3 linked regions of the Schizosaccharomyces pombe genome follow. Changing the gene in region 2 together with the main gene of any one other region gives a genetic interaction. Each region holds a gene or a part of one and is shown on either strand. Other genes may lie near its edges.

Region 1 (8,536 bases), 1.7 Mb from region 2:
GAGCAAACCAACAATCGTGCGGAATTGCAAGCCATAATCCTAGCCCTTGAAAATACATCTGGCGATTTGACCATCCGCTCTGACAGCAATTATTCCATTAAGTCACTAACCACATGGCTGCCTAAATGGAAGAAAAATGACTTTAAGACTAGCAATTCACAACCTGTAAAAAATTTGGATTTGATCAACCGCGCTTCAGATTTGATGAGTGACAGAAATGTTTCGCTAGAGTACGTGAAAGGACACAGTACCGATTACGGTAATCAACAAGCCGATATGCTTGCTCGGCGAGGAGCTTCTGAGTAAATGGTCATCTATGATGAGCGCTGTAAAAAATGGATATAGGTACATTCTTTTGAAATTTGCCGTATAATTTTCGTCTACTCTTCGCTGGTTGTATGTGCTTTTTTTGTTCTCGTTTTGCATAATGCTACATATTTTATTGTAATTAAATATCATGCTATTATAACAATTTTAAAGAGGAAATTGAAAAGTATAGATTCGGAGCTAAGATAATTTTATTATTTAACGTTGAAAATGACACTTCGCACTAGTCAACAATTCCCTTTTCAATTAAATTTGGTTCGGTGTCTTAACGGCAGTCATCGAAATCATATTGCAATGGACTTAGCAAAGAATTAATAACAATTCGCTTCGTAATGAATTTGAAAAGGCTTAAATAGTGGTTTTGAAACGAACATTCACAGTTAATAGGTAGTTATTTGACTAACGTGAAGAAAGTGTACCAAAAATACTTTGAGTTTAGACAATGGGTGTCTCTAGCTTTTACCCACCTTTGCATGTACAGCGTCGAAGGAAATTATTTAAAATACTTCAAGGAGGCTTCCCTGTGCGATCTTTGTTAGACATTGGATGTGGAGATGCTCGTTTTCTATCATATTTAGTACCTTGCAATGATCAAGTGCCTATAGAATTTCTGGCCGGTATTGATATTAACGAACAAAGTATTGAAAGAGCTACTGAGGCTTTACAGGTTAGAACCGAAGACTTTTTACAACTACGTTGGCGACCGCTACATATTGAATTATTGCTTGGTAATATTAAAGATTTTACTCATTATAAACATGTTGATGCGGTTGTAGCTTCAGAGTTTATTGAGCATTGTCAAGTTGCAGAGATTTTAGCCTTTGAAAAACTTGTTTTTGGAAACTTGAAGCCCAATGTTTGCGTAGTGTCAACTCCGAATTTTGAATTTAACACAATCTTTGAGAAACTATCAACCTTGACAAGTAGTATATCATCTCGTACTTCTACCAATTTTAGACATCCTGAACACGTTTTTGAATGGGATCGAAAAGAGTTTGCTAAATGGGCTTATAAAATTTGTAAAAGATACCCAGAGTATACTGTTGAATTTACGGGCTGTGGTTTGCTAAATGATCTAATAGATGGTGACGATTTGTTACATTTTCGCCCATCATCTACTTACGGTTTCTGCACCCAAATCGCAGTATTTCATCAATCTAAAAACAATGCTGCTTCTCATTGCTTCTTAAAAGACCAAAATTCAAGCATCCTTCTTTACAAAAAGATTACATACCCATTTATGGAGCAACTATTTCCTCCAACAGTGCAGCAATTTATGAATCTTCTGAAAAAAGCATTTTTTGATCATTTATTTGGACGTCACTGTTTACTTTTATTCCAGGTTATTGCTGGCAAGTGTGCTTTGTCAGTAAAATTACCTTTCTTGTTTATCTGGGAGTCTTCGCCTCTCATTCGACATGCCTTCCATTATGATGATTCAATTTACTTATCATATTGTCCTGAATTAAAAAAAAGCAAACATAAAGGTATAGCTTTGGCAAACTCGTTTAGTTTTCGCATTGCAAAAGTACTTAAGAAAAGTAGAATTTTTATTATAACTTTTCATCATTACGTTTGATATACACATTTAGTAATTAAAAACATCCATCTTTTTCACCAGGACATTTCATCAAATCTTTTCAGTAAGTCAACAGATTGCTGAAGTTTCTTGTGTTCTGCAATTCGCATATAAAATATGGGGCAGTCTCTACTGGTACAAATGACGTCTTGATGCATACTTCCTTGGCATCGCTGACATTGAGTCCATAAGCGAGCAAAACGAACTTCTAAATCATTCACTTGAGCAACCTGACGTTGATACAGTTCCGCCGATCTATTTAGACAATTCTCACATAAAGCAGTTTTACCTTTTTTTATGGGAGCTTTGCATCCAAGACAGGTCTCAACCTTTACTGCGAATTTCATTATTCCTCCAACACTGGGGGCTGCCATGGAAATCGTCCGAGTATGGTCACCATGAAGTAAAGAGCTAGCTTTTTCACCAAGAATAGGCTCAAAAATTCTAAGCAAAGGTTTGGAGAGTTGATTTTCCAAATAATATTTTGCATCAATAGGAATGTTATTTTCCAATACATATATAGGGTCCTCCGACCTCATATAAAATTGATCACCTTGTGCACCTTTAATAATAACGTATGCAACGCGATCTCCTATGGCTGGGGCGGAGCCAGCATCTCGTTTACGCATTCGCTCAGCCAATTCAACGTGTGCCATTTTGGCAGCATAATCAGTTTTTGATAATGCCTTTGTGATTACAAGTTGTGACATATCAATTTTGTTTTGTAACAAATCGGAAATAACTTTTTTTGTAAACAACTGTGCACCCTCTACATCCTGATCAATTAACATTTTTCTCAAAGCTGTGTCAATCACATAAGATACTAGAGGACAGTTATCTCTTCTGACAGTTTCTATTCCTTTAGAGTCCATTTTATCATAAGTATCTGTACGAGTCCAAAATAATCCTGCATAACGTTTTTTGGAAATTAAAAGATATGGAAAGTACACTTTCTCAAACTCCAGTTTAATAGGATTCGGAAACTGGTCTGAAACATAATTAGCTGCTTCCTCTCCTAATTTCATGGCTTCAGGTAACGTTTTAACGCCAAACTTAACCATAACAGAATCAGTGTCACCATAGATTACAACTGCATCGTGAGAGTATCCATTCTCAATTCTGTATCTCTTTTCTACAACATCCTTGGTTTTTTCAATCATTTGTCGACCATAAGAGGTAACAGAAGAAGAAATTGCTAAACACGGCAAACGTCCGTTGGTAGCACCAGTAAATCCATATACTGAATTAGCACTTACTTTTAAAGCTAGCTGTCTACCATCCAAAACAGCCTTTTTGAATGGGTCCGTTTCCTTTTTTAGATCTGCTTTTGCTTTCTTACGTGCATTAAGTAAATCAGCTAAGATAATAGGGAGTAGTCCTTTACGAACATGTGGTTTAACGAAATAATCTCCGTTCGGAGTCACTGAGTAGTCAACATCTTGCTTAAGTTTTAATAATTCTGCAGTATTTGAGTCAAGTAATGTCGTATAGCATAAATTATGGGCTTGCATAATCGAAGGATAAAGTGAACTAAAATCCAGTGTTGCAATAGGGGTATCATAGTATCCTTTAATCGGTTCAATGACTGTAGCACCTTCATATTGCTCATCTGTTCCATTTACACGTATATTTGGAACAACTAGGTCATGTTGAAGAGCTTTGCGAAACAATTGAGAAATAACTTTAATCTGTTGGCCTCTAGCAAGAAGAAAATTAAACGGTACACCTGTTACTCTTGCCATTTCAGTATAGTTAACAAAACACATTAATTTGTCCATTAAGCGTTGGGGTAAATATGCATCTTTCAGACAATAAATAGCTAAACGTCTTCTAGAATCGGCAGTGCCATTTTGCAAGTCAGTGATGATAGAATAGTGTACATCTTCTTTTTGCTCGCCTAGAAACTGAGAGCAGACTGCATTTAAAGAGTAAGATCGAAGCTTAAAATCACGCTGCATTACTTGTAACATATCAAGCTGCAAACGCCCAGGAATACTAGTGGTTTTGCTTTCACGAGTACCATATGCTTTACTTGAAAACGTGGTTTCCTTTGCGACAGAAAAAAAATTATGAATACGGCCAAGTAATGGGAAATTGTGAATGCGTAAGCTTTTTGCTCGATCCAAGAGGTAAGGGATATCAAAGTTGCAGATGTTGTACCCAATTAAAACATCTGGGTCAACATCACGAACAAATTTTGACCAACTTGAAAGCATTTCAGCCTGATTTTGAAATTCATATACTTGTGTTCCAACGATTTGTGAGCATGTATCAACACAAAAGACATTACGAACAAAAGGAGTGGAGTCTCCATACTGCGTTACTATACTTGCAATTTGAATTACAGGGTCAATAGAGGGATCAGGAAAAACGCCTTTGCGACCTGCGCATTCAATATCAAAGCTCATGATCCTCAGTGGGGCCATTTTAGACCACTGGCCTTCAGCTGGAAGACTGATCAAGTCTTTGTAATTAATCCAAGCTTCAATTTGACAATTAGAAACTCGATTCTGGTAACGAAATTGATATTTTGAAGCAGGAAGATGAATCCAATTCATACCAACAACATCACAGTCAATCATGAATCTAAGAAGATATTGCGTATTGCTCTCAAAAGTAGTGACACCGACACCAACAGGGAAAAGCTCTTCGAAGTTGAATTCTCCTCTTTCAAATACATTTCGTGCTCGAGATAATATACGAGGGTTAGTAGTAAAGATTTTAATGAATGGAGATTTTTCATTTCCCTGAAATCCATATAAATTTTCCTTCATCTCTATAATGCAATGATCGATCACACCCCCATTACAAGTAGCATCTAAATCTTGTGTGAAACGTTCTAGCATCTCAGGTCGAAATCCAACCGGGGCTTTAACATAAAAGTACGGAAGGAATCCCACAACATGAACAAGGATGCTGTTTCCATTGTCAGTAACACCAAACAAACGAATTGAAGGTACAGATCCTTCTGTGAACTCCTCACTATCGATTTGCTGAAAATAAATATCATCCTTCTCAGGATTTATTGCAGGTAAAGCTGGTCGTTGCCACTGCTGATCTTTTGAAGCTATCAAGGAGTCAGTATACTAATAAATGGTTAGCTATCCAAAAAACCTTACATTTTATTTCATCTTGGTCCAATTGTGAAGCGTATTCAGCCAGCTCATCCTCAAAAGATGAAGTTTTTTCTTTTGAGGATGAGCCCTTTTTATCACCATATCCATTTCTTTCGCTTAAACGTCGCCGTTTGACATCTGTAATTTCGCCATGAATTGAACCATTTCTTCGGGGAAATGGATAGTTTTCTTTATTTAACACGACGCCCTCATTTGAAGACCTATCTGTCATTCTAGTAATTAATTTTTTATTTATTATGAAAATTAGAACAGAAAATGGTAAATAAGGAAGACACCAAGCTTACATGCTCTTGGTTTTTGGTAGGAAGACGAGCAACTAAAAGGGTTTTGTAGGTAACAACAAATAGGTACTTAGGCGAATATCTTGTAGGTAAGTTCAAAGCGTACACCAATAAATTTTGGTATGAGTGTCAACTGCTGAAAAGGTAAAACCACATTAAATAGGTTAGCTGTCAAATTACGATGGAGAAAGAAATCAAATATACAAGTTTATACCAATCTCCATCAAGCTACATAAACCACTACTTAATGTATTCTTGGGCATAACAAAAGACTAATTTATTATTAATGGAAGATATTAGTAATAAAAAGGACGCAATTGTCCAAAAACAAAAAGAACTAGATTCCAAGCAATAGGAATTAAGAAAACTGAGCAGAGTCATCAGCCTACAAACCGACAATTCCGATAATTTATTCTGAGACTTTGTTTACCAACGCCTAATGAATAATACAACATCAAGGTCATGTCAGTTAAACCAATACGATAACATTAACAGTAAATACGTAAAGAGATAGATTAAAAGCTGTGTCTGAAAGACAACTAAAAGAGCGAACCCTATACGGGCTAAAACCAAAACGGGATTTTAAGAGAGGGGTAAAAAATAAGATTTAAGAAGAACGAGGTTCAAGTGAGAGTGATTTATCAAATAAATAGGACAGATCTTGGTTAACAAAGCGACACCGATGTAAAATATAGCTTTGAAGATCAGTATTAGATTGCATTTCGTAAGAGGAGGATTGGAATCGGCACACATCTGCGACGACATCGGCAAGTCGATGCCGCTTATTAAAACTTAACAGATGTGGAGATGAATCAAGAACATCGGGGTTACCTTCATCGATAAAAGTCAAGTCACTTAATATGACACCCAAAAACGGTACGCAAGGAAGTTCAGCCTTGCGAAGTAAAGCACGATAAGTACTGAAATTTTTCTTTGTTTCCACGATTTCACGTAAACCAGACAGACATATTATGTCTTCAGCTTTAACAAGTTTGTACGCTGCATGTAAACGATAAATAGGAGCAGAATTTAAGGCAGAAACAATAGACATTAGAGTGGAAAAGTTTTGGAGGGACAAGCACTTGTAGGCAGTTTGTATAAAAAAGGATATTACTGCTGTACGAGCTTTGGTATTCTTTTTCTCTAAAATACAATTGATTATCCAATAGGTGAAACAATTCGAAAAGTTTATATAATTTCGGACAGCGCTGCGAGAATCGCGACTAACCCAGCTTCTAAATATCCATTCCCTCGAAGGAATCTGCTTTAGATAATCAAACTCCAATAATGTCATCTGGGAAGCAAATTCTTCAGGAGTATAAGCATATACGTTTAAAGAAATAAAAGTAGCCATGGGAGAAGATAATAGGCGTTGGGTTAACGAATCTGGAGGCTCTTCAGTCCAGAGATTGTCAATTTCCGATAAAATTACACTGCCAATATGAAAAGATGGAACAACATGGTCACGTAAAAAGGTACGCATCTCCGAAATCAAATAAAGAGTGTTACGGGCTTTTAAATCTTCAAAAAAGTATTTTTGAACCCACAAATTCATAACGGTGCAGACGTTCTTCTTGGTAACAAAATTATCTCCCTTTTCCCAAGAACTATATGCTGTAGCATCTAATCCTGGTGGCGGTAACTCGTGAAACAGAATGACAAGAAGCGTAAACAATTCCTGGGGGGTAGTGAACGTTTTATAAGTCAAAAGAAACGAATGGCGAAAATCTTTGTTCAAGTGAACGTTCTGGACAAGGTAATGCACGAGGGCCGGTAAAGTTCCACCTTTAACATTGTTATCGCTTTGCACAACTTTATTGGTTAACAAATTATCCAGCATCAAAATTGATTGCAAAGAGTTTCTGCCAAGTGTTAAGGTATCCTTGCTCATCTCGCTAACAGCGGTAAAATCAGAACTTCTAGAAATTCTAGTAGTACCTTTGTTAGTTTGACGAGCCGGTTCGTCATCTTTTGCTGTGTTTGCATTTGAAAACTTGTTTTCAAACTCTTTTGTTGCTAATTCCTGCATCTCATCGACGAGAGCAGCACGTACTTTAAGAAAATCACAAACATTTTCAAATAAAGTTTGGAAAGCCACAGCAATGGAAGCAATCATTGTAGGCATTGTAGAAAAATCGTTTGAGTGCTCCATCATCAAGTCTTGAGATGAACAAACCAGATCAGTTAATAAATCATAACAACGTTGCTTTGTAACAAAGTAAGATTGGACTGCAAAGTTTGTAGCTTGCTCGCACTCACTTAAATCTTTATCAAAGTATATCGACATATCCCAACTTTCAAGTTTGTTGAAGATTTGTTCAGAGTGGCTAGTAATTGTGGAACAAATTTCAAAGACATACTCTTCATCGGCAAAATCAGAGAAGTTTTCAATAAATTCATCACAATTTTTCAATAAAAACCATACGCACTTGTCGAGTTCGGGTAGGCAAGGCTCAAGCAAGCGTGTTCGATATGCTGATGAAACAGCAGACAAACCATTGTTGGTCCATTTGCCCCCGAAAGGAGTATTGGGAACAAAAGAAGGGTAGTAACAAAAGCGACTAAGGTATAAACTATTATTTGCACACAGAGTAAAGAAAAATTGTAAATGGTACAGAAAATCCTCAGCGCTTTGCTGTAAGCGGGGAAAAGTGTGGTCTGGAAAAATAAAAGCACGATTCGAGAAGGTCAGTACAGTTAATCTCGAAAAGTAGGGAATTATCTTATCAAAATGTAATTTAATGGGGTTTTCAAACTCAAAGTTTTGCAAGAGATTGTGTTGGAGAAGATAAAAAGTCCCGGTCTGCTGGCAGAGATTGAAGAGTTCTTCTTGGAGAGAAAGAACGAGTGATGGAATGCTCAACGCATCTCTAGATTTTATAGCAGAAAGTAAATGAGTGAACAAATAAGAGAATTTTTCATAAAAAAGAAAGAGATTAATGACTCTGTCATTAAGGAAAAGATCATCAGAAGAAGGAAGGGGGAAAAAAGGACTATTTACGAAAGAAGAATTGGGTCGCAAGGAGGACTCGGTTTGTAGTAATGAGTTAGATGAATTTGACAAAGATGAAGAATGGTTAGTACGCACAGGACCAATCGAACATCCAGACAAGGGCAAAGAATGAACAGACGCTTGCATGTCTTCAAAGGGAGATGAGGGAGGAGTGAAATCGCTTACATAGCGAATTTCTGGAGAAGCTCGGGTATTTCCT
Region 2 (6,651 bases):
TAAAACTATGAAGCAACATTAAACCCTTGTCCTCATATATCAATTTGAGAATTCATTTATATATCTATTAAAACTAGTGTATTATAGTCGCAGCTTGCTGTTACTATATTTATTTCATTATTTTAAATAATATGTAAGCTCACCAAAAAGCATTACATTTCATTTAGCATTGGTTAGCATTCAAGGCTCAAACTAGGTGAATTCAATGTACGATATTTGTCGTCTAGATGATCGGTACAGTCCTTTTACATAGCTCTCTAATATACGAACAAAATACTCATAATTTGATTAATTAGACTTTTATTAAATGAAATCGTTTTTTTCTTTTTATATTCAATTAATTATGTAGTGACCTAGTCTGCTGTCAAATCTCGTACATCCTCTCCATATACCCTTGAGGTAGTTAACTTCTAGTCTAAAAAATTTGTTGATAAAGGTGCATTGCATGTATTCTTCACTACATCAGCTTTGTAATAAAGTCATTTAAGTGTCGGATTTCGAGTTTTTAATTGAAAAAGCTTGAATTTGACATTTACTCAGCAAAATATGGAAAGCAACCTTTCCGCCAAAGGTATTTTTCAACATGCAAGTGCTAATGCATCAGGGGAATTGTTTCAAGAGCCCGTAACAGAAGATCTTGAAAAGGTAATGCAGTCGAAAGGACTGTATTCGATGGAGGAGTTGTGTTCCATCATCCAAGAAGCATATGCTCCGCGAGTTTCGGTCCTATGTTCCCGAGATGCTGACGAGTTTGCCATGAGGAAGGGATATCCTAAGGGGTTTTGGGAATTGTTGTATCCTTTTGGAGACCGTATTCGTGGAAAGGTAAACCGTAGAGGAATGAATGGAGAAATGCTGACGTTGGAAAATTTAAATTTACATTTTGTCCCAATTGATGCTTTAGAAAGCCACTTAAGTGAAGCATCTTTTCCTTCACTTCGCTCGGTTTTATGTGAGCGATATCCAGGTCTTGTTTCACCTGAACCCCCTTCAGATTATTCCTTTGGCGTTCATTATAAAAACGTTGAACGATGGGCTTGGACATTGGCTCATGAAGGGAATTACCAAATGCCACTTCCTGTCTATGTGCGACAGTTACTAACTGGGATACCTATTACTCCTTTTGAAACTTTTTCTCATCCCGTTGCTCACCTTGTCGTAGTAACTTCGCATAATCCTAGTCCTTTTGAATCTCTCAGATCTTTGATTAATTCGATTCCCTACCTTTCCCTTCCTGCTTTCGTTTTCAATGATATAAACTACCTTTTCGTATATGTTCATGATGAAGATCAACATGATTTGGAGCTTTCAATGGCTATATTTGATACGATGAAGCAGACATTTGGAGATTGTGGATACTTTCTTCGCCTTCATTCACAAAAGGCTACCTTAGATTATGAACATACCGTTCCTTTTCCAACATCCTCTTGGTTGTCTGCTGAAGAACGTTTACACCTTTTATCTAATACGGATACTGAAATACGATTACTCTTTGAATCCGACAATGAATCACTGCGACGGTTATCTTCGCACATTGCGTTCAACGGAATTGTCTCTTATTTGGACAAATGCGTAAGAGCATGGGATGATCAATATGCTTCTCCGAGACGAGGGATTACCGGTAAGCTGTTATTTGCATCCAGAAAATATTTATCTAGTTCGAATGCTTCTACCAATTCTAACTATTTCCCCTCATCTAATGCCTATCGTCCATTTTCACCAGAGGCATATCTTAGGAAACTTGCCGACTATTCCTTCATGCTACGAGATTATTCTCATGCAAATCAGATTTATGAAATTGCATCAAGACAGTATGAAAATGATGGTGCTTGCTTATATTCTGCTGCCTCTCTAGAAATGATTGTAATAACTGAACATATTTTACACCTAAAAATGCCATATATGAGTTTGACGAACACATTGAGAATAAACGAGTATATGCAATCTGCTATGTTAAATTATTTGAATAAATCCTTCAATTCCTATTATCATGCTGCGCGCTGTTTCCTTCTCCTGGGACAATTCCTTAGTTGTTTACCAGCTCCAAAAGTGGACGATGCTGCTAACTGGAATGCAGGTTTGCTTTATTCTAAGAGATTGGGTCCTGTAGGAAGAGCAATGATCTTTCAACAAACTCACACTCTCTTTAAATCCCTTTCTTATTTAAAAACTGAATCTACGGACCCGTTCTCTAATAAGCGAACTCGTAAAGCCGCACTTTGGTGTGTATTAACTGCCGATGCTTGGTTGAGATGTCGCATTCCCTTTCGTGCCAAGCCTTTTGTAGAGGAAGCAAAATTGTTTTATGGAAAAATCGATTGGAAGGATTTGAAGGAGTGTGTTGCAGCACTTGACGAAGTCGAAGTCTCCAAACAACCTGCTTCTAATATTCCTTCTAGCTAGAAATGCCCCACTTTCAAAATGTATATTATTTTATTTACCAAATATCAAAATTTCTACAGGTTATTAATGTGATTATATATAGCGAAATAAACTAATAAGTTAATCTGATAATGAAAATTCGTTAAAACGAATCCAACGAAAATTAATGATTAGGACTGTGGTCCATCGGATCCCGTTTGTGAATTGGTAAGGTCAATAGTAAGAGGGGGACTAACTGAAGTGGCAGGAAAACCGTTAGATGTAGAAGGTTCGGTGGAAGATTCAACAGCAGTGTTCCTCAATGAATCATTTTTGTTAGTTGTTGATTGTTTTGCACGGTTGATGAGATCAGCAAAATCCTCAGCGTATGCCTTCTCCCAATCGCCCCCTCCTAGTTTTTCTTTTTCTACTCCAATTGATTTCGACTGAACGCGCTCCCAATCTATAAGTTGGCGAATTAAATTTCTTTTTGAAACAGGTTGTTTCTGGTCTAAATTAGAATTGTAAAGGGTAACCCATTTAGCATGTCGACGTTGTAATAGTTGTTTATGTCCATCGGTTGGAAGCCCCATCTCTGATAATTTGGAACGAATTTTTGATTCGGAAAGGAGTGCATAAGTTAGTTTGGGAAGCCGCACTCGATCTTTCAAGGGTAGTTCATCTGCAGAGTTAAACGACCTTAACCTGCGCTTCGTGATAGAATCATCATCTGTTTTGAATGATAGTAATGAATTAGATTTACTATTATCCTTATTTTTATAAGGTGAGGAAGAGGAAGACGGGGAAGAAGGTGAGTTAAGACAAGAATCCAAGTGTTGATTAATTTGATTATGAGGAACTAAATTTGAACATGCAGGGCAGTGAACTAAATCCTCACGTTTCCTCTTTTTAGAATCCCTAGATGTCTTTTTAGCTATAGAAGCAGGAGATGAATTTGAAGCCAAGTCGTCTTCCCATTCCTCATCGCCAGAAGCTGAATCCTGTGCGATAACTGTTTCAGGAGCTTGAAGTACTGGCTTTGGCACATTTTCTACTTTTAAGAATTCAAACAATGTTGGCCTGATCACTTTAAAGGACTCTAAAATCTCTTCTAATATAGTGTTTTTTCTTAAGCGGCTTTCTTGCTCAGGAGCACGACAAGCAGGGCACATAGGATGTTCTCTCAGATAATCGCGTATACAAAACGAACAAAAGGTGTGTGAGCAAGAAGTAATTAAGGGGGCGCGAAAGTATTCATGACAAATCAGACATCGTAAAGAAGAATCCAAGCCCTTCAACGATGGTATTTTCGTTTGGTTCCAATCAGATGGATCTGTAGCATCTAGTTCATTCATCTTATTTTAAATTGCAAACCCATTAATAGTTAATATGCACTAATATTCAAACTTAATTAGGGATTCGTAAGAGCACTCTCGGACGGTAAATTTTTAAACCTTAGACACATCGATATGTAAATGAATATGTATATTCATATACATTATTACATTTAAAGAACAAATGTAAAGAACCTGTTTCTAAACGTACTTACAGATTCTTACCCTCGATACCAGAAGTTGGCGAATGCAAAACCTAACTCACCACCAAATTTATCTATAAAGGATTTTTGAAATTTGCACTCTTGTAATTTCAATTTTGGGGCTCGGTCAGAAATGGCAGACGTTGCAAAGTTTTTAGATCGAGTTGAAGGAAGTTTAAACAGAGTAAGTTTTAGCATTTTATTGACATTGCATGTGAAGATTTCTAGATGTACCTTAGTAGGTTGATTCGATTTATCTTATTCTCAGAATTTTTTTTTTTTTTGTTTATACAGATTATATACTACAATGAAACAATAGAATAACTTTGCCTATGCGTATATTACTTGCTAATCAAACAAAGTCGATGAATTCTAACCTTTACTTAGGGACGTGAGATTGACAGAATATTGTCTTCCTTTAAATTAAATGCATATGATGTTCTTGATATTTTGCCAGGAATGAGTGTTGATGATATTCGAAATTTGTACAGGAAAAAATCATTAATGATTCATCCAGACAAAAATCGCGATAACCCAAAAGCTGCAGACGCATTCGACATTTTAAAAAAGGCGGAGTCTGATCTAGTTAATGATAAGATTCGGGAATCTCTTGATTCGGCTTACACAGCTGCAAGGAACCAACTATTGAAAGAAAAAAAATTGTCTCCAAATTCGGAAGACGTCCATTCAGACCAGTTTTTATTTGATTTAAAAGTACGTTGGCGTGAAATCCTTATTGCAGATGAAGTTGCAAGAAGACGAGCACGGCAGCTCGATTTAGCAAACCAGCAAAGAGAACAAGCGCGTCAAGATGAAATTGCAAGAGAACGAAAGCGTCGTGTAGAATCAGAAAAGGTTTGGGAAGAGACAAGAGATAATCGTGTGGGAAATTGGCAGGATTTCCTTCACAAAACGAAGAAAAATAACTTAAAAAAGAAGAATAAAAAACCAAGGGTTCTTGGATAAAAGACGAAGTTACGCGTTTTATTGTACATTAAAGCTTCGACGACTTAACCTCTTTTAGTATTTGTACATGACCTATGCGATTGAAATGATTTAATATGAAGTTTTCAACAATTTATAAATTGAAATTTCTTTTCATGCTACGTGAGCAGATTACCATTAAGTAAACTAATCAACAAATTCTACTGAAATTTGCTTTTCGACAGTGATATGTATCAGTATCGTAATAGAATTAATATGAATGCCGTTTAACCATGGTAACTGCTTTGTATATTTACAGCGTTCTATGGCATATATTCCTAATGGGTGCATGTAAAGAAAGAGAATGATTGCCCTACCCACTGTCGAATAAACAACAAACTAAAGATGTTTGTATGTACAAGGCTTTTTGGAGGAAAAAGTCCTTAAAGAGAGAATAAGACCAAGAGCTTCCTTTTTTTCCTGGCATAGCATTAAAGCGCACCAACTGAAGAAACAAGCATCATCCTAACGTGCATCCCATTATGAGTTCGTATACCAAGTTAAAAAAAAGAGGGCAGAATAACACTAAAATTACTAATTATGTCTTGATCATATGTTTAAAAGAGATAAAAAGAAATAAGAATAAAGAAAAAACGCGACCATCATTATATATGTAAGTGAAAAGGGGCAGCGATTTAAATAAAGAAGAGAGAGGACTGTAAAACATGGTTACTGTGCTCAGGAATTTTTTTACAAAGTAAGGGAGCTTAATCAACATGATCGTCTGCATGTGCCAAAGGACCTTCTTCAGCACCCTGATCATCTGGTTGCGTGAATCCAGCAGTCTGATACTTTTTAGCCTCTTCAAGCTCTGCGGCCTCCCTTTCTTTCCTTTCGCGTTCCATTTCAGCCATAATACGCTTATCATCATCGCTAGGTTCATAAATATGCCAAATAACATAGTGAGGAAGTCCGTAAACGGAAAACCCCATCCGCTTAGCCATTTTTCCAAATCCTTCGGTTTCAGCATGCTTTTCAAATGAAAATGCGGGAAACTCGCAACCTTCTAGGTGTACTTTAGCTTTAGACATAATAGATACACCACCAATACCATCCAGTGGCATTTCAACAGATGGGTCACCATTAGGATCACGAAGGTAAGCCAAATGAGGGCGCCAGGTAGCATACTCTGCGTATCCTTCTACAATAACGTCGTCTTCGCCCAAAGTATCTGCAAGCTGAAGAGCAGTCTCAGATTCAGCCCATGAATTTAAATCATATGGTTGCTCATTGCCCAACCAATCTGGTAAGGGTCTATAAACGTTAGGAACAATAATGTCTTTATCATGGCGCATAAGATCCTCCAAAATAGTGTTTGGAGCAGTCTCCACGTCAACATCTCTCCAGTAAACCCAAGAATGGTAAGGCTGTATAGCGGCTGACAAAAGCCAATTACGAGCACGAGCCATTAATTTCCTTCGGGGACCTTGTGCCGCAAATCCATGACGGTCACTGAATTCTTGACCGAAAATAGCACCGAAGTCCTTTAGCATGATAAGGACATTGTTAAAATGCTTAGATTCGTCCTCGTCATTTTGAATAGCGTCTAAATGTTGCTTCAAAACCTCGAGAGTATTATCATCAGTGTCTGAAATTAGAAAGGCAAGGTCTATAAGTTCGTGAGGATAAGTCAGGTTATTCATGTGACCAAAAAACATATTAAGATGTTCTGCAGCATTTCGAAGTGGAGCACAAATCAACACCTTTTCTTTCGGTGAATAATCTCCAGTAAATTTAGCGTTCATTACTTTTCGCAAGTCATATTCTTG
Region 3 (7,247 bases), on a different chromosome or scaffold from region 2:
CGGAAGAAGTGGTTTAGTCACGATCTATAGGTTCTTTTAGTTGCGGCCGTATACTTTACAAAATAATCGGCTCCTTACTTTTTCGTTTATGTGTTAAGATTTTATTTCCCTTATAGTTTTCATTTTTTCTTTAAACATGTTCTCTTTTTCTATTTCGGTTTATGGGCGGATGATCCTTGTTTTAAATACCTAGTTTATTAGTTAATCTTGCCCTACCTGATTTTTTTTACGACGCATCATTTTACTTTTCGCTCTCTTTGATGAATAACTTGGCACATTCACGGCACTGTTGATGTATTTTTGTACAAAGCTCGTTCAAATTACCTTAAAACCTGCTATTGATTCTACAGCTACTTTTATGTTTTTTCCATGGTACTTCTATAGTGATTTATTGACTTATTTATTGGAAACTTCTACTAGTTTCATCTATTAATTACATTTTTTGTCAAAGATTACTACTTATAATAAAATTTGCGATAATCGCCATTTTAATAATAAAAGCCGTTTGTTTACATTTCAATTTTTTTGCTAGACTTTTTGCAATTTTGTCATAGAAAAATTTTCTCTTTATAGTAAAGACTAATAGATTATTAACCCGTACCGATGTATAAAGTATAACTAAATTTTTATGTATAAATAGATTTTTGAAATATGAATTCATAGCTTCCATGCTTTAATATCGTGAAAAACGTTACAACTTCCAACCTCCATTCATAGCAATTGATCACGGATGATCCATCCTAGTTTTTACCCTTCACATAGTTTTTAAAGCAGAAGATTGTGTTCACGGTGAACACATTCAATTATGTGTCGATACTCTTTCCTAATGTACTAGATAAATGTTAGCTATATGTAAACTGGAAAAAATTTGAGAAAATGATTATTTCCCTCAAATGGGAAATAATAACGACTTACCGTAAGCATGTAAGGGTTAGCATTGTTGCCCGTAGTATCAGCAAAAATTTCGCTTTCATCTACCACAGTAACATATTCATCATTATATTTTCGATACACATTGTTTTCGAAATCATGAATGTAAGTCCAATAATGACCGAATGAAGCCTGTCCACGATGCACAAATACAGCAAGCAAGTCGTAGCTATGGCTGATGTAATTATCGAAAAGATGCGTCCTTTCTTCTTTTAAGCTGGCTTCCTGTTTTTTAAGCATATCCACTTCAGCGACAACATTGTTTATTTCCTCTTGAAGGATATCAGGAAGTTTTGGATTAATAGGAAGTCTCGAATCCTGCTGCTGTGCAGCCCATTTAGATAGAATAGACAATGTATCAACAGATGACATTAGATTCGAATTTGTAGTTAACAATAGCTGTTGTCGTTTTTGAAGGTTGATAATTTCACGCTTTAGATCCCAGTACCTTTGTAGTAAAGGTGCCATTTTCCCATCAGTATCTTCAACATATCTGTCCATGGAAAGTTCTTTTCCAAATTCAACAAATGCATTAGACTTGAAAGGCTGTCCAGTAGTCCTGTCAAATTGGACACGCTGTATTTGTAATTGCAAAATTATCGGTAGCTCAGTAATACACAAGGATCGTTGGGCAGTTTCGCTTCCCATATCAATATTGACTGTTTCAAAAACACCATCCAATGCATCATACAATGTTTGTTTCTCCTCGAAAAGGTCAACGATCAAGTGAGAAAAAATCTCATAGTTAGACCGTACTCCTTGACTAGCATCATTTAGTGTTTGTTTTAGTTTGCCAGAAAACAAACGTCGTATAAGATCATTATCAGAGCCAAGACGATCTTCTGAGTTGGAAATACGACCAAGTGAAGCTTCCAGTTGAAACAAAACGTGATCAATACATTCCAAGACATCTTGTTGACGACCTAAATCCATGGAGGAGTTTATTTCTTCTTCAGATACTTCAAAGTAATGAGGTTGTGTTTGAGACTCTCCGTTAGTATTGGCCATGGGAAAATCAATTAAATTAACTGATGAAGATTGTTCCGCTGGACTTTTGGCCTCATCCTGTCCTTGTTCTTGTTCAAGCCCTTGAGCTTGCTCTTCTGCTCTGGGGTCAATAGTGATAGATCTCTCATTCAAATTGCTCAACTCTCGAGACGATGACAAATCCATAACCGAGGATGTTCCAGATTTGACCTGGTCCAACGTAAGAGGTATTAAAGCAAGATATGTCAGTACTGAAGAAGGATGAACAGACGATGACTTTGAAGTAATGAGTTCAATAAATAATTTTCGGAGTTCATAAGTGAATTGTAAAGCCCTCAAGAATTCAATTCGAGTAACAATCCGTCCACCAACTTTCTTGACAGCTTCCTTGTTTTCAATCATATTAAGATCTTTGTTTTCATCAATATCCAAAATTGCATTACGAAGAGGTTTTATAATAAAGTAGTATTGGATCAGGGAATTCAAATAACAAAGATTACCAGTATTTTCCAAACCGATCGGAGTATCCAAACTTGAAACTTCTGGTGGAATATCTAGATTTCCATGTTCTAAATAATGAGTGATTAAACGCGAATTCCTAACTTCTCCTATACATTTCAAAGCTGCTCTCAAAGTGTCTGATTGCTCTGGGTGGTCTTCAACAGCAAAGCCGTATACATTGATTAAAACGTCATCTGATAGTGCACGATCTTGAACACCTAATGTGTTGTAAGCTAGATCTTCATCCATAGGCACTTCTTTAGGCTTCTTGTTGGAAGGTCTACCTTGTGAAGCCAAGAAATCGTACAAAATGGAGCTATTTCTCTCTTCAGCTATCCATTTGACGGCCTCGATGGCTTTGTCGCTATCATCTTCAAATTTCACTAAGGCCACAGAAGCTACCATGGCGTCCTCGGTGTTAGACTTAATGCCCAACCATTGGTAGGCTTCATTAACCGTATAAAAAGCCTGTTCTGTAGACAAAACATAATTTAAAATTTCAGAACTCTTTCTTGCATAGCCAATAGTCTCCAAATCGTTCCTAATAGCTCTGGCAAATTCAGGTTTTCTTAGGAGGGCAGAATGAAACGCCTCAAAGATTTTTTCTTGACTATACCTGTAATCCGGGCCTACCTCAGCTTCAAGTCCTAAACTCGAATAAGCGGCTTGTATTACATCGCTCGACACGATTCCATTTTTCCTATCTGCCGCAATTAGATCTCTCAAAAAGCTGCTTTTACGTAAATTGTATATATGAGCAAGCGCATCCGCATAAACACGAACATTAGCTTCATCGTTCTTTTTTTGTTCCTCATAGAAATAACGGACAAAGCTGTCTGGATAATCATTCGTGATACCCAAGGCTATAAAAGCAGGATCATCAGGTAAGGAGGCCGAATTGTCGCGAAAAACTGTGGTATACATGGGAACCACGCTATCATAGTTAGGAACGCCAAAGGCATTAATTAAAGCAGGTCGAGCCAACCTAACGGGAAAAGGGTTAGCAACAATAGCCGGATCTTCTTTAGTGTCACGAAAGTGATTAGCCAAAACAATAAGTTCATTCCTAGCAAGGTATAGATTAAGTTTTTGTTCGTCAGTAAGGGGAGCGTCCGCAATGGTAGGGACATAATTTACATTTTCGTGGTGATATTCAAACAGAAGAGATTTCATCAAAGATTGAATTTGGCGGCCCTTTCCGACATGTCTCTCAAAAGTTCCTTCCGGGGCAGCGCTAATGGCACGTTGATCGTTATGGACCAACACGTTTCGTAAAAACAACTCCAAAGAAGTAAATGTAGTAAAAAGAGAAGGTTGGGATGAATGGGATGACCCTTGATGAGATGACGATTTTTTAGTTAAAAGGGAAGCAAATGATGGACGTCGGGAATCAATTATCTCTTTGATACAATTAGCATCAAGATAGCTATCTCTCCATTCAACTTCAATTTCACTTTTTGTTGTTTTGCTACTCCATTTCATACAAGTAGAGGTAGTAGCGAATTCACTTTTCGTAGGGCTAGTCACATGAGGTTCAGGTAATTCCTCTTCTTCGTAGTAAACAGGAATCCTATCTTTTATTCCATAATTTTCTTCAGGCTCTTCAATTAATGGCTTCCCCCTGTCTCTTCGGACTTTCACATGTAAGTGTTTGCGAGTTTTTTGACAAACACACCAAAAGTCATTCTCGTCAAATACAGCGGACTCGCCTAAATTTGAATGAAGCTGCCAGTGATATCTTGAGCTATGAGGACTCCAAGGATCATTCCATCCAGCTGATGGACTATCAAAGACGTCTAAATCTTGAATCAACCGATTAGGACTTTTGCCAATTCGCAAGTTCTTTACAGTTGCCATTCCTCTTTATAGTTTGATGTAAATAATTTTAATAAAGAAATTTAAATTTTTTATTATGAAAAATACTTGAAAAAACGTCCAAACGGAAAGAACGTACAGATTGAAGGATTTTTCATGAGTAAAGGACTCGGTAGGTAGACTTCATGCGTATGATGCTTGTCGTCTTACATATGCCAGCCAGGTATGCGACCATCAATTTTATGAATGTGGGGAATAAGATAGAAGTAAATGTTTGTATTTCATTGATAAGGCTACTAAAGAAGGTAAGAAACAATCAACACCTACATTTCGCTATACGAAATTTACCATTATGCTTAAATAAGATTTTTAACCTAAATACACCTTACTTTAAAAATAATGTAGTTAATCAATAAAGATTAAACTTGGTTAACTGGAAGTTAACAGAATGGAAGTCTAAAAATCTAAAATATCATTAAAACCATGAAATGGTTAGCAATTGTAAAAGAAGGAAACTAGGCATCCTGTAAAAAAACAGTAAAGCTAAAATTAAAAAGACTTCAATTAGAAGAACGAGAGACGAATATATATGCCATCAGCATACTTTGGTGTGTCACGGAAAAGAATAAGATCTTAGCAAAAAATTGAAATCAAACAAAAGAGATAAATCTATAAACATGGAAAATAAGAATATTTGGGGATTAGGAATTAAAGCAAAAATTTGAAGAAAAAATAGAGAAAAGCAAACAATATTAGGATAACTGCCTTAGAACATTGCGCATGTCGTCACTGAGCTAGCCATTCACACTACGGAAATGTGCTTAATTGTAAAGAGAAAAGAAGTTCAGATGTATTGGCGAATTTTTAAGAAGGCTCCAAAGAATGTTCAATATTATTTTCGGGTAAAGCTACAGAAATAGGAGCAATAGCGGGCATGTTTGCAACGGGCATTGAAATCGGTAGATAGCCTAAGAAAGAATTTGTAAAAGATTGGGGCGTTAGTGGTGAATTCGTTGTAGGGATATGCATAACAGGTGGTGTATAAGCGACTGAAGGAAGACCCGAGAGCACAGTAGGGACAGCAGGTAGTGGAGTCGCATAGTGAGCGTATGATAATTGCAAGGGTCTCCCGCCATAACGATAACCATTTAATTTTTCAATTGAGGATGCTGCATCATTTTCATTCTCAAATTGAACGACACCGAAACCTTTAGATCGGCCAGTGGGCTCATAGGCGATTCGGGCACGAATGACTGAGCCAATATCTGTGAATAGGTCCAATAAATTGCGATCTGAGGTGGCCCAAGGTAACTATATTCAGTCAGTAATCTCCAAAAAAAACTTAAAATGATGCGGAAAACTAATCCCACAAAAGCGTCCTTATATACATACATTTCCAACGTAAATGCAATCCGAGCAGGGTCCATGGGGATACGCATGATAAACTAAATCCTCGACTTGAGTATTAGCACCTAACATGGGTAGATAGGTGGATGATGTAGTCATTTGCATTTCCGCTGGAAACGTATAGCCATTTCCATGAGTGGAATACGGCTTACTTTTATGATGTGCAAACCGATCTAGGCGAACTTCTAAAGTGCGGCCCATGAAATCAGTGTTATGCAACATTTGAATGGCATGCATGGCTTCTTTCATCGAACTCATGACAACAATCCCAATGCCACGGGATCGGCCTTCTTGGTTCATTTGGATATCAGCTCGGATAACAGAACCAGCTTGTCTAAACAAATCCTTTAAATCTTGCCAGCGAACGTTATACGGTAACTATACTCGTTAGTACCATTTCTTATTTGCAATTCCACAATTCATTAAAATACCAAAGTTCGAGGAAAAGAATATAGAGGATTAGAAATTGAACTTACGTTACCAACAAACAATTGCCTGTCTGGCTCAGAATCTTTGCCATTCGACGACGCGCTAGGCGATACTGAAGAGGAGCCAAATCTTGCATTTTGTTCTCGATCCTTTACGAAGGTTAATAAGCGACATAAAAAAAATCTTACTTCACGGATATAAACAAGACGGCCCATAAATTTTTGGTTGCTCAGAGTTTTAATTGCCGTGCGCGCTTCTTCAGCAGTAGAGTACTCAATTATCGCGCATCCCTGATATATTAGCTAGACTATTCACAATCTGAGTATACGACAAATTTTAGGATAAGCTATAGGCCATAAGTAATCGTTTAAAAGTAACGTTCAATTGGATCGATTCAACGTTACAATTTAAATAGACAATGATTTACTAGTCGCATGAAACCCACCCTCTATGAAGCAAACTTACCTTCGATAATCCATTCGGAAGATTCAAAATCTCACAATTAAGAACATTGCCAACTTGTCCCATAAACTCTTTCAACTCAAACCAACGAACTTGATATGACAAATTACCAACATACACGCGACGCTCTTGTTGAGTGTACTTTTGGCCATTTCCCAAGTGAGGGTCTCTTTCAGTGTGCTCTCCATCAAAATGCAAGCCACGTTTCAATGAATTGCTTCCGTTGACATGTCGCTTCGGAGACTCCGATCTGTCACGATCCATATTGGAAGACGATGAATTCAAGGAACTTGACACATCCAACTTACTACCCATTCCTGAATCAAATTCATTCTATTTGATCAGCTAAATCAATCAATAGTTATCATACCCATTCTATAGGTTTAGGCATCGCAAGAGCATAAGCTGAGTGTGCATCTTCACATAATTAAAGCATCCCAACAACTTGACTTCTATAGTGTAACTGCAATATAATTTCGTAAGTGATATACTGTAAACTCTTAGATTCGCTAAAAGAACAATAGAATAAAAAAACTGTAAACATTTAAATTATAAATATTGACATGTACTGACTAATTAATCATAGTAAGGAGTTTTAGTTGTTTGTAAATGAGTCGTAATAAAAATGGAAACTCAAACAATAACTAGGGTTAGAGATAACCTCAGTTAATATTAAGTGTTTGAAAAATTCAAAGACTGTGCATAAATTGTATCAA

What was found. Genes that interact genetically often act in the same process or in processes that back each other up.
Region 1: mutations in rhp18 (region 2) and cdc6 impair growth when combined (synthetic growth defect), as found in Schizosaccharomyces pombe (one study listed by BioGRID).
Region 3: of rhp18 (region 2) and ubp2, changing one suppresses a phenotype caused by changing the other (phenotypic suppression), as found in Schizosaccharomyces pombe (one study listed by BioGRID).

Annotation. Positions count from the first base shown.
Region 1 is NC_003423.3:2,740,561-2,749,096, reverse strand, and holds cdc6 (DNA polymerase delta catalytic subunit Cdc6), read right to left. Parts: upstream 5,336-8,536; 5' UTR 5,255-5,335; coding exon 5,026-5,254; intron 4,974-5,025; coding exon 1,942-4,973; 3' UTR 1,907-1,941; coding exon of another isoform or gene 770-1,906; 3' UTR 501-769; downstream 1-500. Other genes in the region: ribonuclease H Rnh1, read left to right, coding at 1-306; hen1 (S-adenosylmethionine-dependent methyltransferase), read left to right, coding at 770-1,906; Ras guanine nucleotide exchange factor efc25, read right to left, coding at 5,932-8,536. UniProt on the Schizosaccharomyces pombe protein: Catalytic component of DNA polymerase delta (DNA polymerase III) which participates in chromosomal DNA replication.
Region 2 is NC_003423.3:1,067,323-1,073,973, reverse strand, and holds rhp18 (postreplication repair E3 ubiquitin-protein ligase), read right to left. Parts: upstream 3,947-6,651; 5' UTR 3,717-3,946; coding exon 2,553-3,716; 3' UTR 2,404-2,552; downstream 1-2,403. Other genes in the region: TRAPP III complex subunit Trs8502, read left to right, coding at 547-2,403; DNAJ protein Spf31, read left to right, coding at 4,032-4,082, 4,286-4,864; mannan polymerase I complex subunit Anp1, read right to left, coding at 5,590-6,651. UniProt on the Schizosaccharomyces pombe protein: E3 RING-finger protein, member of the UBC2/RAD6 epistasis group. Associates to the E2 ubiquitin conjugating enzyme ubc2/rad6 to form the ubc2-rad18 ubiquitin ligase complex involved in postreplicative repair (PRR) of damaged DNA.
Region 3 is NC_003424.3:3,484,353-3,491,599, reverse strand, and holds ubp2 (ubiquitin hydrolase Ubp2), read right to left. Parts: upstream 4,407-7,247; 5' UTR 4,276-4,406; coding exon 916-4,275; intron 832-915; coding exon 766-831; 3' UTR 501-765; downstream 1-500. Other genes in the region: bsd1 (heavy metal ion homeostasis protein), read left to right, coding at 1-17; hrb1 (RNA-binding and mRNA export factor), read right to left, coding at 5,098-5,544, 5,626-6,018, 6,117-6,218, 6,258-6,359, 6,535-6,864, 6,902-6,922.